3 linked regions of the Mus musculus genome follow. The protein of the gene in region 3 interacts with the protein of the main gene of each other region in a biochemical or structural test. Links are inferred from orthologs where the notes say so. Each region holds a gene or a part of one and is shown on either strand. Other genes may lie near its edges.

Region 1 (3,974 bases), on a different chromosome or scaffold from region 3:
TTAAAAACAGCTGAAAGAAAACACGTTTGACAATGAAATCAACCCCTGCCTTTTTCTTTCTGTGATAATCTATAAATAGATGGTGCTCGCTGCTGCTGCTCTGTTAGCTACCCGGCTTATCTGCCGTTCCACTAGTCCTTATTTTCTTCCCGAAGAGAAAAGCAGTGTTTATTATTGCAGGTGCCAAAACACAGAGGACGAAAACAAGCAGAGGGATTTCATGCAATCATTCCGAGTGGGCTTCATATTTGCCTTTTGCTTTTGTTTCCGTGCCTGGAGCCCATAAACCCGGTGAATGAGCTGGCAAATTGCCTTGCTCAGGTGCGGCTCTCGCTCTCCCGGAGCTGGAGCAGGTGCTGATGGGAGCAGGTGCGGAGCTGATGACCAGATAAGCCCTGAGCCGCCCTGCCCCTCTGCTCTGCTCCGGCAGAGTTAGCTAAAAAGCCGAAAGAAGGGCTTTTGAGATACCACCCAGCTACTGTTCAAATATTGACCAAGAGACCCTGGGAAGGAGGAGATTGTGGCCACCTTACTTCCAGTTCCTCCTCCTGTCTCTAAGCTGCTTTGCAAAGCCCCGCAGGAGATGTGGTTTCCCTGCGCAGGAAAGCCAAGCCCAGGTATTGCCTAGCCTGGACTCTGCTGAGCTTGAGCCTAAGAAATGAGCAGCGTTGCCCTTGGCAAAACATTTTCCCCCCTGGTTTGGTGACTGTTTATCTTAGCAGAGGACTTGGCAGTTGGCAGATTAAAGTGTTTACTAGAAGGCTGTGCCTCTCCCTCTGCAGAGCTCTGCACCCCCCAACGCCACAGTAGATGTGGAAGGTCCCTGAATGTGTGCAAGACAGTTCCCAAAGAAGTCCAAAGAGACACGCAGATACCTGGGACCCCTCCCCACTCCAGGCCCTGGGACATGTCTCTTAACATTAAAGTTTAGTGTTCAGCTATCTGTGAGTTTTGCAAAGGAGAAAAACTGAGGAAATCACCCAGGAAAAAAATAGAAGAAAAAAAAAATTTTTGTGTGCCTGTAGTCCTGAGCAATCTTTGTTCTTTGATTTGAAAAATTCCCCCTCTCTCCACAAGATTAAGGCCAGTGACACTCATTCATTTAGACTCCGGGTTCCAGCAAAAGCTTGTCCACTTAAGAAAGTAGGGGTATTCGTGAGAAACATAGATTTGGGCCCCGGTTCTGTTCTCAGATTAAGGCAGGGCATCAAACCAAGAGATTCTGGTGACATCTGAGAAAAGCAAATTATGTCTTTCTGGGAAGACGTACTAAATGAAGTCCACAGGATTTTAAAAGATTTATATGACTTTAAACTATTTCCTTGTGAGCATGTGATGTCATTGTCACAATGTGTAACGATTCATCTACTATCTACATTCTTTGTTTAAACTTCCTGTGGAATACATATGGTTCACATAAAGAATACTCCGGGGTCATTTGAGGTTTTGTAGAAAACAATCATTTGTGAAAGCAAAACAGACCCTTTCAGTGTCTTATTTTGGTTACGGTCTATAAAAAGGCCATGAAACAGAGCAGTCGTCGCAGCCCCAAGAACAAACTGTCAGACCCTCTCAGCCCGCCCGGCGTGGCACGAGCATAGCAGTCCCACGTGGGGACAAGCTCAGAGCCTGTCTCTGGAACTGAACGGGGGTCTGCCTGCAGTGTCTCCGGGACACTTGGGAAACACGGTGCCATTTCCAGATGGCAGCCCCTTCACAGCGCAGCCCTGAGACTCTGAGAACACAAGGTTGGCTTTATTTAATTTCCTCTCTTTTACCAAGAGTCATAATCTATTTTCGTAAAGAAATTCAGGAAATTGGTAAAGCACTTGACTCCATCCGTTAAGTATCCGTAATTAACGTGATTGTCACGTTTTTCCTGGCTCCGTGCTGTCTTGTTCACAGCCTCCCTCACATGCCTACAACCCGCTGAGAAGATCCTGGTAATGGGTGTCACTTAGTCTCAGCTACTCAAACAAAACAGCACGCGCGATCTGCAGAGAAGCGCACTTCCTCTGCTTGGCTAGCAAAGATTCCTAAGTTCAGGGGGTTTTCTGACCAGATTCTGGCATTCTTTTCAGACAACCCCTCTGTGGCTCTTCTCTCTGTGACTGCTTTGCTGCAGGGCAGCACAAAAGAGGATGTTTGCAGCCCACCTCCGCAGCCCCAGTCCCTGATAAAGCCAGGGCTATTAGTTCTTGCTCACCAGAGCCAGCCCACCTTCCTACCTTCATCAGCCACTGTGTGTTGTTCTCTAGAATGTTCTCCAGCACCTGCAGCCTTTGCACTGAGTCGTCGTAGTCGAGGGGTGCATCCCTCTGCACGGCATTGGACATGTAGGGGCTGGAGGAAGATCGGCAGCTGTCGGTCTCCGGCAGCAGGAACGTGTAGCTGCAGGGTCCGTTCTGGACCTGGTACTGCCTTCTGCCTGTGCTGTCCACGCTCTTCCTAAAGTTACTGTAGGCTGAGGCCAAGACAAGATCCCAGCCAAAAGTTAGGAAAATGATCTGCCACATTCTCTCTCTCTTTTTGGGTTCTAAACTGTGAGTTCAGCAAACTTGCGTCCTGAGCTCTCAGCTGCTGTCTAAGGCACAGGGCTGTGCCGTGTGAATAAGTCCATCAGTGAGAGCCTTCTCCGTCCCGCAGCAGGCTCTTTCCCAGTGCCTGTCTCTTCTCTTCTCTTCTCCCCGGCACACTCGGAGCTGTCCTGAGAGGAAGGAGCAGCCCTGCTCACTCCAGAGGTCTGCACGGACTCTTTGTTTCTCCCCTGAGTCTACAGTGTCAGTATCCGAATCAATCACTTTCCTTCCCTTATATGATAAGTTGATAAGAGCAGCCAGACATGTGCAGCCAGCCGCTCCGCCCCCTGGCTCACCCACTATCTTCCTGTAGGGGGTCACTAGCCAGGCAACAGGAAAAATCAGAGCATAGTGCTTACTGCCCCAAAGGACTGTGTACTGCAGAAGCCTTCTGGGAACACAGACCAGCCACAAGACCCCTGGGCATGTCAGAGGCACCACCCTAATTATTTCCTAGAGAGTAGCTGGGGCTCTGTTGTCTGTCTGCTCGTTTGTAGGCTAAGCTTGCAGAGTATCTGAGGTAATCACTTTAATTTTAAAGCATAGTGAAAGTTTCTGTTCTTTTAGGAATAAAATTACAGCTATATCGGGACCTTGGTTTATTTTCTTTATTGTAAATATAAAGGCTAAGATCAGCCCTTGTAAATGTGCTTTTCCAAGGGGAAGTAAAGTCTTGTTGGTATTTGGTTTTTTTTTTAAGTTATGCACATTTTTTTTTATTTTAACCCAGTTTGATATTATTAAATCAAGTTACCAACATCAGTTTTCTCAGCACTCACATGTCTGTGCCTTAACACAAAATACTATACAAATAAAACTTAAAGTAGTTTGGCCTGATTAATTGTCTGTTAAGTAACAATAGATATTTGAGTGAAGTATGTCGAGAGGAAACAAACATACACCTTTTCCTTCACTGTATCAGGGTTTCCTCGGGCTCATCACTCTGTGGCATGTTCCTGATTAAATTAGTCCCAGTCAGTGGGCTCAGGCAAATCACTTTCCCCTTTTAATTAAGTTCAAAAGCCCCTGGCCATAAAAGCTGGGGGCTGCACTGACTTCTAAAACACTTCCAGCTCTGTGGCTCTGCTGGTCCAGAGTCACCACCCCTTCATGACTAGAAGTTAATGCTGCAGAGATCGGTACTGGGAAGACTCCAGCATCCCTGACTCAAAGGACCACGTCCGCCTCCAGAAACCCCAGGGCAACTCTGTGTTACACATCCTCGGCTTCTGGAGGCTAGGAGAGTCATGATTTTAGATCATAGGTGAATCTAGAATCTGCATGGGGAATGTTGTTTTTCACAGAGTCTGTTTGGAAGAGAACTAACTGAATCTTTTTTAAATGCATCCTGTAGCAGACTGGCTCCCGAGTTGGCAACAGAAGAGGGTTATGTTT
Region 2 (3,631 bases), on a different chromosome or scaffold from region 3:
AGTATATTTTATTATATAGTATACTATATATTGTATATATACTATATATATATACTGCACACATATATATATATACTTATACTATATAATATATATTGCATATAAGTATATATAATATAGAAGCCTCTTAGTGACCTGAGCCAGCTCCTGCCTCAGCGGCTCAGGTAAGCTTTCCCTATGTTTTTCAACCTGTGCCAAGGACTGAATGCCGGGTCCTGAATGTGCAGGGCTCTCACCAAACCCGCCTCAGCACACTCACTGAATGGTATCACTAAATCATATGGTGAACAAAGTCACAGTCTCTTGTCACCTATGAATAAGTGAAGATGAGTCTCAGTGGAGTGAAGATGCCTTCCCAGTGCCAGGCAATGACAGACTGGACATGTTGGGGTTTGAATCCAGGCACCCTGACCTACCCTAACCCCACAGTCATGATCACCCTGGAGGCTTGGACATAGTCACAGAGTTTGGTAAGAAAATAGAGACCCTTTGTCCCCTTGTAGGAAGGGGGGGTCCCTGAGGATTGATCCATGAGGGCTGGACTGGCTAGGAGGGCTTTATGAAAGAAGTGTGGAATAGACCAGCTGTAATGTTGAACTGGCAGGGCTGGCAGGCAAAGAGCATGTAACCCCGCCTGTACCAGGCTGCTCCAGACTGGACACTGGCACTGCTGGTGACTGAGTCTGAGAACCTGAGCAGGTTCCTGCGGCTCTTGGCATCCCCCTTTTCTTGCATAGGAAAAGGTATTATGAGGTTTAAATGAAAATGAGTTAGCCTTCTCAAGACACTGTAACAATACCTGGCCCAGGGCAGATGCTTGAAAGACTTCTACCTGCTTTCCTCACTCTGTGTCTCCCACACACAGCTCCCACATCCAGCCAGTATAAAAGTCCCAGGAGCGGTGAGCAGCGGTGAGCGCTGTGACCCCAGGGTGGCAAATAAGGAGGGCACCATGAAGGACAATGACCTGGTCAGATCAGGGTACATTTCTCATGCAAAAACAACAGGTTGGAAACTTTTCCAGAGCAGAACCTGTGGAGGAGCCCCAGCCTGACTCTCTGTACCCCTTTCTTACCCCACCTCACCACTGCCTCCAGCCTCTCTGTGAATGACAGCAGCAGTTCAGCAGGGCGCAAGAACAGCCTGGCTCCTCAGGGCACCAAGTTCAGCACCAAAGACATGGACAATGATAACTGCATGTGTAAATGTGCTCAGATGCTGTCTGGAGGTGAGTTTATCATGATGAAACCTGTTGGTGGGTGTGTCCAGATGATATCTGGAGGTGAATGTGTTCTGATGCTGTCTGGAGGTGAGTGTATCCGATGATACCTGCTGGTGGGTGTGTCCAGATGATATCTGGAGGTGAGTGTATCTGATGATACCTGCTGGTGGGTGTGTCCAGATGATGTTGGAGGTGGGTGTATCTGACAATACCTGCTGGTGGGTGTGTCCAGATGATGTTGGAGGTGGGTGTGTCCAAATATTGTCTGGAGATGGGTGCTCCTGGTGAGACTCTAGCCAAACCTCCCTCTTTCTAGTCACTGGAGTTCCCACTGGGTTGTACTGGGAGATGGCAAGGGTAGCTCCAGGAAGGCATGATGTTCCCATCCATCCCACCCTCTTGTCTGAGGATTCTCCTACTCCCCAGGCCAGGAAGAAACATCATGAGAGAGACCAGAAGCAGGGAGGGCAGCTCCCCTGCCCACCTCTCTGTCAGGCGATACTCCTGGCAGGGAAAAGACCAGAGGCTGAAGATGGAATGGGAGCAGCACTGGTAAATGAGACCCAACTCACAGATACAGGGACCAGAAGAGGCAGTGACATAGGTGGCAGAGGCAGAGAGGTGCAGGTGACAGCAGACAGCAAGGAGAGGACTAAAGTCCAATAGGTGGGCTAGAAGTGTGCAGAACACACTGGAGACAGAGCCCCAGGGGAAGATAGGGCAACAGAGAGACATGACACAGACAGAGGACATGCAGAGGGACATCCACAAACACAGAGACCACTAGAGTGAACAGGAAGACATGGCAGAGCCTGGTAGGAGATCATCAAAGGAACAGGAAGAAGAGAGGGGTGTCAGAGGCACAGCAGGAAGTCACAAAGGGGCCTGCGGTGTGACTGGAACCTCTCCTACCCTCCAAAGCCCTGGCCCATACCCAACCCATACCCAGCCCACCACCTTCAGCAAATTGGCACCCCAAAATGACAGTCCATGAGCCTTATCCTCCCTGAATCTCGGCCACCAATCTCACCTCCTCCAAACCCTCTGTCCTCCCTCTTCCACTAGGGTGGTGGTTTGATGCCTGTGGCCTCTCCAACCTCAATGGCATCTACTATTCAGTTCATCAGCACTTGCACAAGATCAATGGCATCCGCTGGCACTACTTCCGAGGCCCCAGCTACTCACTGCACGGCACACGCATGATGCTGAGGCCAATGGGTGCCTGACACACAGCCCTGCAGAGACTGATGCCGTAGGAGGATTCTCAACCCAGGTGACTCTGTGCACGCTGGGCCCTGCCCAGAAATCAGTGCCCAGGGCTCATCTTGACATTCTGGAACATCGGAGCCAGCTTACCTTGCCCCTGAATTACAAGAGTCACCTGCCTCCCTGTGCCCCTCTAGTGTGAAATGCTGGGTGCTTGAGGCACCTGCCTCTGTGGAACCCATACTCTTTCCCCTCCTGCTGCATGCCGGGACTCCCTGCCATGACCTGAGGCAGACTGAACTTGACCCCCTCAGAGGGTGGGGTTGCAGCAGGTGGGGAAATCTTGCAGCCTGGGGTGCCCTCCTCCAGGTGAGAACGAGAGTCTCTCACTCTTCTCTAATTCCAAGTTTCTCTCGGCTTGAGATGTCCGCAGACTTTCTTTCCAAGGCTGGTGAACACTGTTCCCACTCCCAGTCCCCAGTGCTAGCCACCATTCCCCGAGCCCCGTGGCTCTTGGACTTCAATGACTGAGTCAGACCTGATCTCTCAGAGGCTTCTAGAAATAGGAGAAGGGATCTTTTTACGCCAGTGTGCCCTAGAGTGTTTTCCATAGGTAATAACTAAGGCTCCTCTCTAAAGTACTTTGGATAAAGTGAGAGAGAAACAGCAGGTTAAATAAAGAGAATAGACTTTCCTAACTGCAGGACTTGTCAGCGTCTTTCATATGTTTCCAAGCCTTACAGTCACCCATGAAGAAGTTAGGGGAAGCAGCTTTCTCAAAGTTATTTCCTTGAAAATAGGACTAGGCCTGGCAGTGGTGGCGCACATCTTTAATCCCAGCACTTAGGAGGCAGAGGCAGGCGGATTTCTGAGTTTGAGGCCAGCCTCATCTACAGAGTGAGTTCCAGGACAGCCAGGACTACACAGAGAAACCCTGTCTCAAAAAAAAAAAAAAAGAAAAGAAAGAAAAAGAGAGAGAGAGGGGAGGGGAGGGGAGGGGAAGGGAGGGGAGGGGAGGGGAGGGGAGGGGAGGGGAGGGGAGGGAGGGGAGGGAGGGGAGGGGAGGGGAGGGGAGGGAAGGGGAGGAGAGGGAGGGGAGGGAAGGGAAGGGAAGGGAAGGGAAGGGAAGGGAAGGGAAGGGAAGGGAAGGGAAGGGAAGGGAAGGGAAGGGAAGGGAAGGGAAGGGAAGAGAAAGAAAAGAAA
Region 3 (4,390 bases):
GGAAGTTCTTTCAGGGTAGGGCTAAGGGGGAAGTGCTAACAAGAGCAATGGTTGGAAGGGAGAGTTTCTGTAGAAGGCCAGATCTTCCCTTGGAAAACAATCCCAAGAGGTGTCCTGATCCCAGTCCAAGGAGAAGGCTCCTGGGACCACTTTCCTGACCTTACTATTGCGTTTCCTTTGCCAGCCCAGACAACATCTCTGTTATCTCTGAATCCAGTTGTTTAAAATGTCACACAAGACAGGAAAGACAGCTGAAGATGTGTGACCTGAAGACTTCCTATCAGTGTGAATCATATAGGACATCCATGATGAAACAGAAGTGGTGTTTTTTTTTTTTTTAAGTGTACACAATTCTTTAGAGCCTGCAGCCAGGTTTGGTGTAGATATGGAATTAAAGAGGGGGTAACACTGCTAAGTTCTATGAGAACTTGTTTGCAAGCTGAAATTGGCAATAATACTCCAGTGGAAGGAGCAAGCGCCAGAATCTGAGTTGTTATGGAAGCCACAAACCTCTTCCAGTTTATGCCTTAGCAGGCTGCTTTGCTACCCAGAGCAACCTTTATTGAGGCAAATACAGAGTCTTTATTCTTCCATTATGTTTGTTCAACAAAAAAGGAATATCAGGCCACCAAGTAGACTAGACATATAAGCTCTATATCCCCTTCCACATTAATGAAGTACACTATTAGAGTCTGACTTGAAGGAAGAACTCCTGAGGCTGTTTGTGTGATCACCAAGCCTCACTCAAGTTCATGGAAGCTTGGGTACAGAATGAAAGTCAGGAATTAACAGAGACCTTCAGCAGAAACCAAGCTTTCTGTGTTCTACTTTCTGACAAGAACATGACCTCCTCCTTCTTGTCATCTTCGCTCCAGAAATCAGTTTCTAGCATCAGTGAGACAACTGTTTTGGAACAGAACTTTTTTGTATGAATTCATGACAACTTTTCTAAACTTATTTGTAAAATGCCATAAAAAAGTCACTTAAGGAGAAAGACTAAGTTAAAATAGTTCTGTGTATGTGTGCGTGCACATACGTATGTGAACATACTATTAGTTTATTTAACTTAAAACTAAGTCAGAGCAGAACTAGATACTTGGACTTTGTATTATTATAGTCTCTGGTGTAAAATCAGTCCCATATTCTATAACGCTGATCAGTGTGACTTGTGGAAAGCAAGATGAAAGTGAGGAACCATAATTATTATTTAAAAGTACATAGTAACAAAGACATCAACCTGTCTCTACATTAATATAAAGACGAATCCAAATTTACAGCAATATATTATGCTGTTATGTTAATTATAAGTAAGTTACTACATAAGTAATTGGCACCATCTTAGATACTCTTTCAGCAATTTACATTACTCTTAAATATTATTAAATTTCTGATATGTTGGTTGTTGAAATCAAATTGAAAAGTTACATGAGAAATTGCACACAATTATCATACTTTACTGGGTTAAATTTTTTTGAATACTTAACAAAATATTTAAACATATAGAAAAATATAAAAGTAACATCAAAAGTATTTCTTTGTATCAAATGCTATACTATATATAGCCTCACCATTAAGTTTGATAAATTTTCCCAAATTCATCTCCTGTGTCAATTACATTTTTATCATAATAATTAGAATACTTCCAAACCAATTCGGGGAATCCTATGGCAATGATAATGTGTCTGTGATCTGCAGTTTGGGTCCCCATGTTTCTCCTAGCATGGTTTACCTATGCTGAGTGAGTTACAAGGCACCCCACTGTGTAGAGCCTGTGATACACATACAGAACCCAAGCTCATCCTGGCTGCCCTCTCTAGAGGTGCCACTACAGGACTTGGCAAAATACTGAATCCGGTGAGCTTGGTAATTGACTACATTTTAGTTAGCTTGCTAGGGCTAATCTTTATGTGAAACATCAAAAAATTAAAGTCAGTGGCATAGCCCTAACTCCTGGACCCCTACCTAAAAGACGAAAAGCCCTTAACTGGACTACTGAAATTAAAAAGCATGGAGATACACAATCTTTACAGAAAAGTGGTCTTGTTTTTAGTTAACAATGACGTTTTTGTACATGGCTAGGTAAGAATTTTGTTTCTACCAAAAAAAAAAAAAAAAATCATTGAAGTCTTTCTTTAAAGTGATTACAACCCAAATTTGTTGTTATGGATAAGAAAACACCAGAATGAGAGGCAAGAAAGAATACTCCAAAAAAAAAAACAAAACAAAACAAAAAACAAAAAACAAACAAACAAAAAAAAAAACCAGATCCCTTCAAATAAGGTGACTTACTCAGTCCTGGGAGAGACCGTGCAACCCAGGAGGCAGCATCTGTCTACAAGAGATGGCTAGAAAACCCAGCTGGTGCCGCTGGAATCTGAACTTCAAAACCGTTGCCATGTGTAAACTGGAGAGTCTCAGAAAAGCAGTGTCAGGGTCACCAAATCGAAGGTTTGGTGAGAGAGAGAATGGCGAGAAGTCACTGTTGTTAAAACATGACACACACACACAAATAAACATCAAGCCAAAACTTACCATAAAGGAGCAAGCTGACTCCACAGAGAACTAAGCCGGCTAAAGAGTCCATACTTCCCCAGATCTCCCCATCCAGCGTCCACAGATGAGCATGAGTCCCTGGGAAGCTTTCAACAACTCACAACTTTGCGACTTCCCGCTCGCATGGTCCACTCGCTCTTGTTTACAAGTTGGCGGCAAGGAGAAACACCACAGAAGCAGGCGGTAACAGTCTCATTTCTGTCTGAGCACAGGGAGGGTTAAGTTCCTTTTTCCTGTTTCCTTTGCAGATTAGGATGGGAAAGGCTGTATCTTAAAGGCACTTGGTATCAGCAGGGCTTGGGGCAGAGCGAGCCCTATCCATCTTGCCCTTCATCCAAGGCTTATCTTCTGCTCCTGCTCCGGCTCCTGCTCCTGCCTTAACTGGATTGTGGGGCAGAGGGATCTTTGTTACAAGTAAGGTCCTGGTCAGCATTTTCAGGAACAATAGGGGTATCCTCTCATAGGCCAGGAATTGAATAACAAGCCCTCCACCTATGTATGGTATGCGATGAGGACCAGCCCTTGCAGGCTAAGCTGTTCTCTGGGGTGCATTTGGGATCCCTGACAGAAGGGGCTTTGGGGCACGGGGAGCAGCACTTGCTCTCCTGTTTTTGTTTTCACTCACAGGGTTTGAATTGGGCAACAAAGTTTCCTGTGATGAGAAATCATAACCTGGAAGGCAATCAATTTGAGGGAGCGTGGTTGAGGTCAGCTCTCAGCGGAGCCACTAGAGACCAGATTCCACAGCCATTAGCCTATTTTCTTACACCCAGATCGCCTGCCTGTTGGCCCTGAGCCCAAATATACGCATGCTACTGGCTACAGCTTTAATTTTTATTAGCATTTCATCTGAGTGTGATCTAATTCGTTGGAGAACTTGGCACAGGAAGATTTTAGTAATGTGAATAATTTCATAGTTATTGGCAAACAGAATTTCAGATGCAAATTATATACAAAAATATGGGAGAGGCACTTTTTAAGAGAGTGACTTGCTCTACAGCTTAGGCAAGCCTGGAACTAGCCTGGAGCTCATGATAACGATGCTCCCTCAGCCTCCCGAGTGTTGATACTACAATCATAAACCACACTCTTGGATTACTCCGGAGATTTTTAAATAATCAGGCAGGTGAGATGGCTCAGCCGGTAAAACCAAGACTGAGTTTAATTCAAAGCCCGTGTGATGGAAAGACAGACACCTGAAAATGTGCACCTCCCATGTGACCTAAATGAATACACACATTCATAAAAACTATAAACAACAAAGTTATAAATCATCTCTATAAAGACCCAACAGAAGTGATTATGTCTACAGGAGCAGAGTGATGGATGAGTGATGAATTCTCCAGCAAGCTCAGGCACCTGAACCTTCCTTACCCAGGTGATCACTTGCTCTCACTGGGAATGAAGCAAGCATGCCACTAGACACACGACCTTGCATCAAGGAAGGACTGCCCCTCCCTTTCCCACCAGCCACAGGAAGAGACACGGAGGCACTGCTAGTCTTGGTGGATTTCTGCCTTAGGTTTTATCACTTCAGGGCTGATCTTGAGTGCCTGTAATGCTTCCAATCTGCAGGGGTAGATAGCTCAGCTCTGTCCTCAGGCACAGCTGAGGGCAGACCCTGACTCAGCTGTTAACAGGTCAAGAGCAGACACTGAGGACTAGTAATGTTTCCAACCTGAGGAGTGCATAGCCCTGTTCAGTCCTCAGGCACACCTGAGGGCAGACACTGGCTCAGAGGTAAGATTATGATAGCTATTTCCATTCCAGAGACTTTTAAATGGCAATAGTATCTCCTTCATGGGTTTTGGTTTTGTGTTTAAGACAGTGTTTCATT

What was found.
Region 1: the proteins of Tek (region 3) and Angpt2 form a complex in vitro, tested with the Homo sapiens proteins (7 studies listed by BioGRID and IntAct, with this or other methods). The link is inferred for Mus musculus from reciprocal best matches to the Homo sapiens genes TEK and ANGPT2.
Region 2: the proteins of Tek (region 3) and Angpt4 form a complex in vitro, tested with the Homo sapiens proteins (2 studies listed by BioGRID and IntAct). The link is inferred for Mus musculus from reciprocal best matches to the Homo sapiens genes TEK and ANGPT4.

Annotation. Positions count from the first base shown.
Region 1 is NC_000074.6:18,738,763-18,742,736, forward strand, and holds the start of Angpt2 (angiopoietin-2 precursor), read right to left. Parts: upstream 2,801-3,974; 5' UTR 2,517-2,800; coding exon 2,229-2,516; intron 1-2,228. UniProt on the Homo sapiens protein: Binds to TEK/TIE2, competing for the ANGPT1 binding site, and modulating ANGPT1 signaling. Can induce tyrosine phosphorylation of TEK/TIE2 in the absence of ANGPT1.
Region 2 is NC_000068.7:151,942,207-151,945,837, forward strand, and holds the end of Angpt4 (angiopoietin-4 precursor), read left to right. Parts: intron 1-1,097; coding exon 1,098-1,228; intron 1,229-2,287; coding exon 2,288-2,448; 3' UTR 2,449-3,131; downstream 3,132-3,631. UniProt on the Homo sapiens protein: Binds to TEK/TIE2, modulating ANGPT1 signaling. Can induce tyrosine phosphorylation of TEK/TIE2. Promotes endothelial cell survival, migration and angiogenesis.
Region 3 is NC_000070.6:94,737,835-94,742,224, reverse strand, and holds the start of Tek (angiopoietin-1 receptor isoform 2 precursor), read right to left. Parts: upstream 2,937-4,390; 5' UTR 2,585-2,936; coding exon 2,533-2,584; intron 1-2,532. UniProt on the Homo sapiens protein: Tyrosine-protein kinase that acts as a cell-surface receptor for ANGPT1, ANGPT2 and ANGPT4 and regulates angiogenesis, endothelial cell survival, proliferation, migration, adhesion and cell spreading, reorganization of the actin cytoskeleton, but also maintenance of vascular quiescence.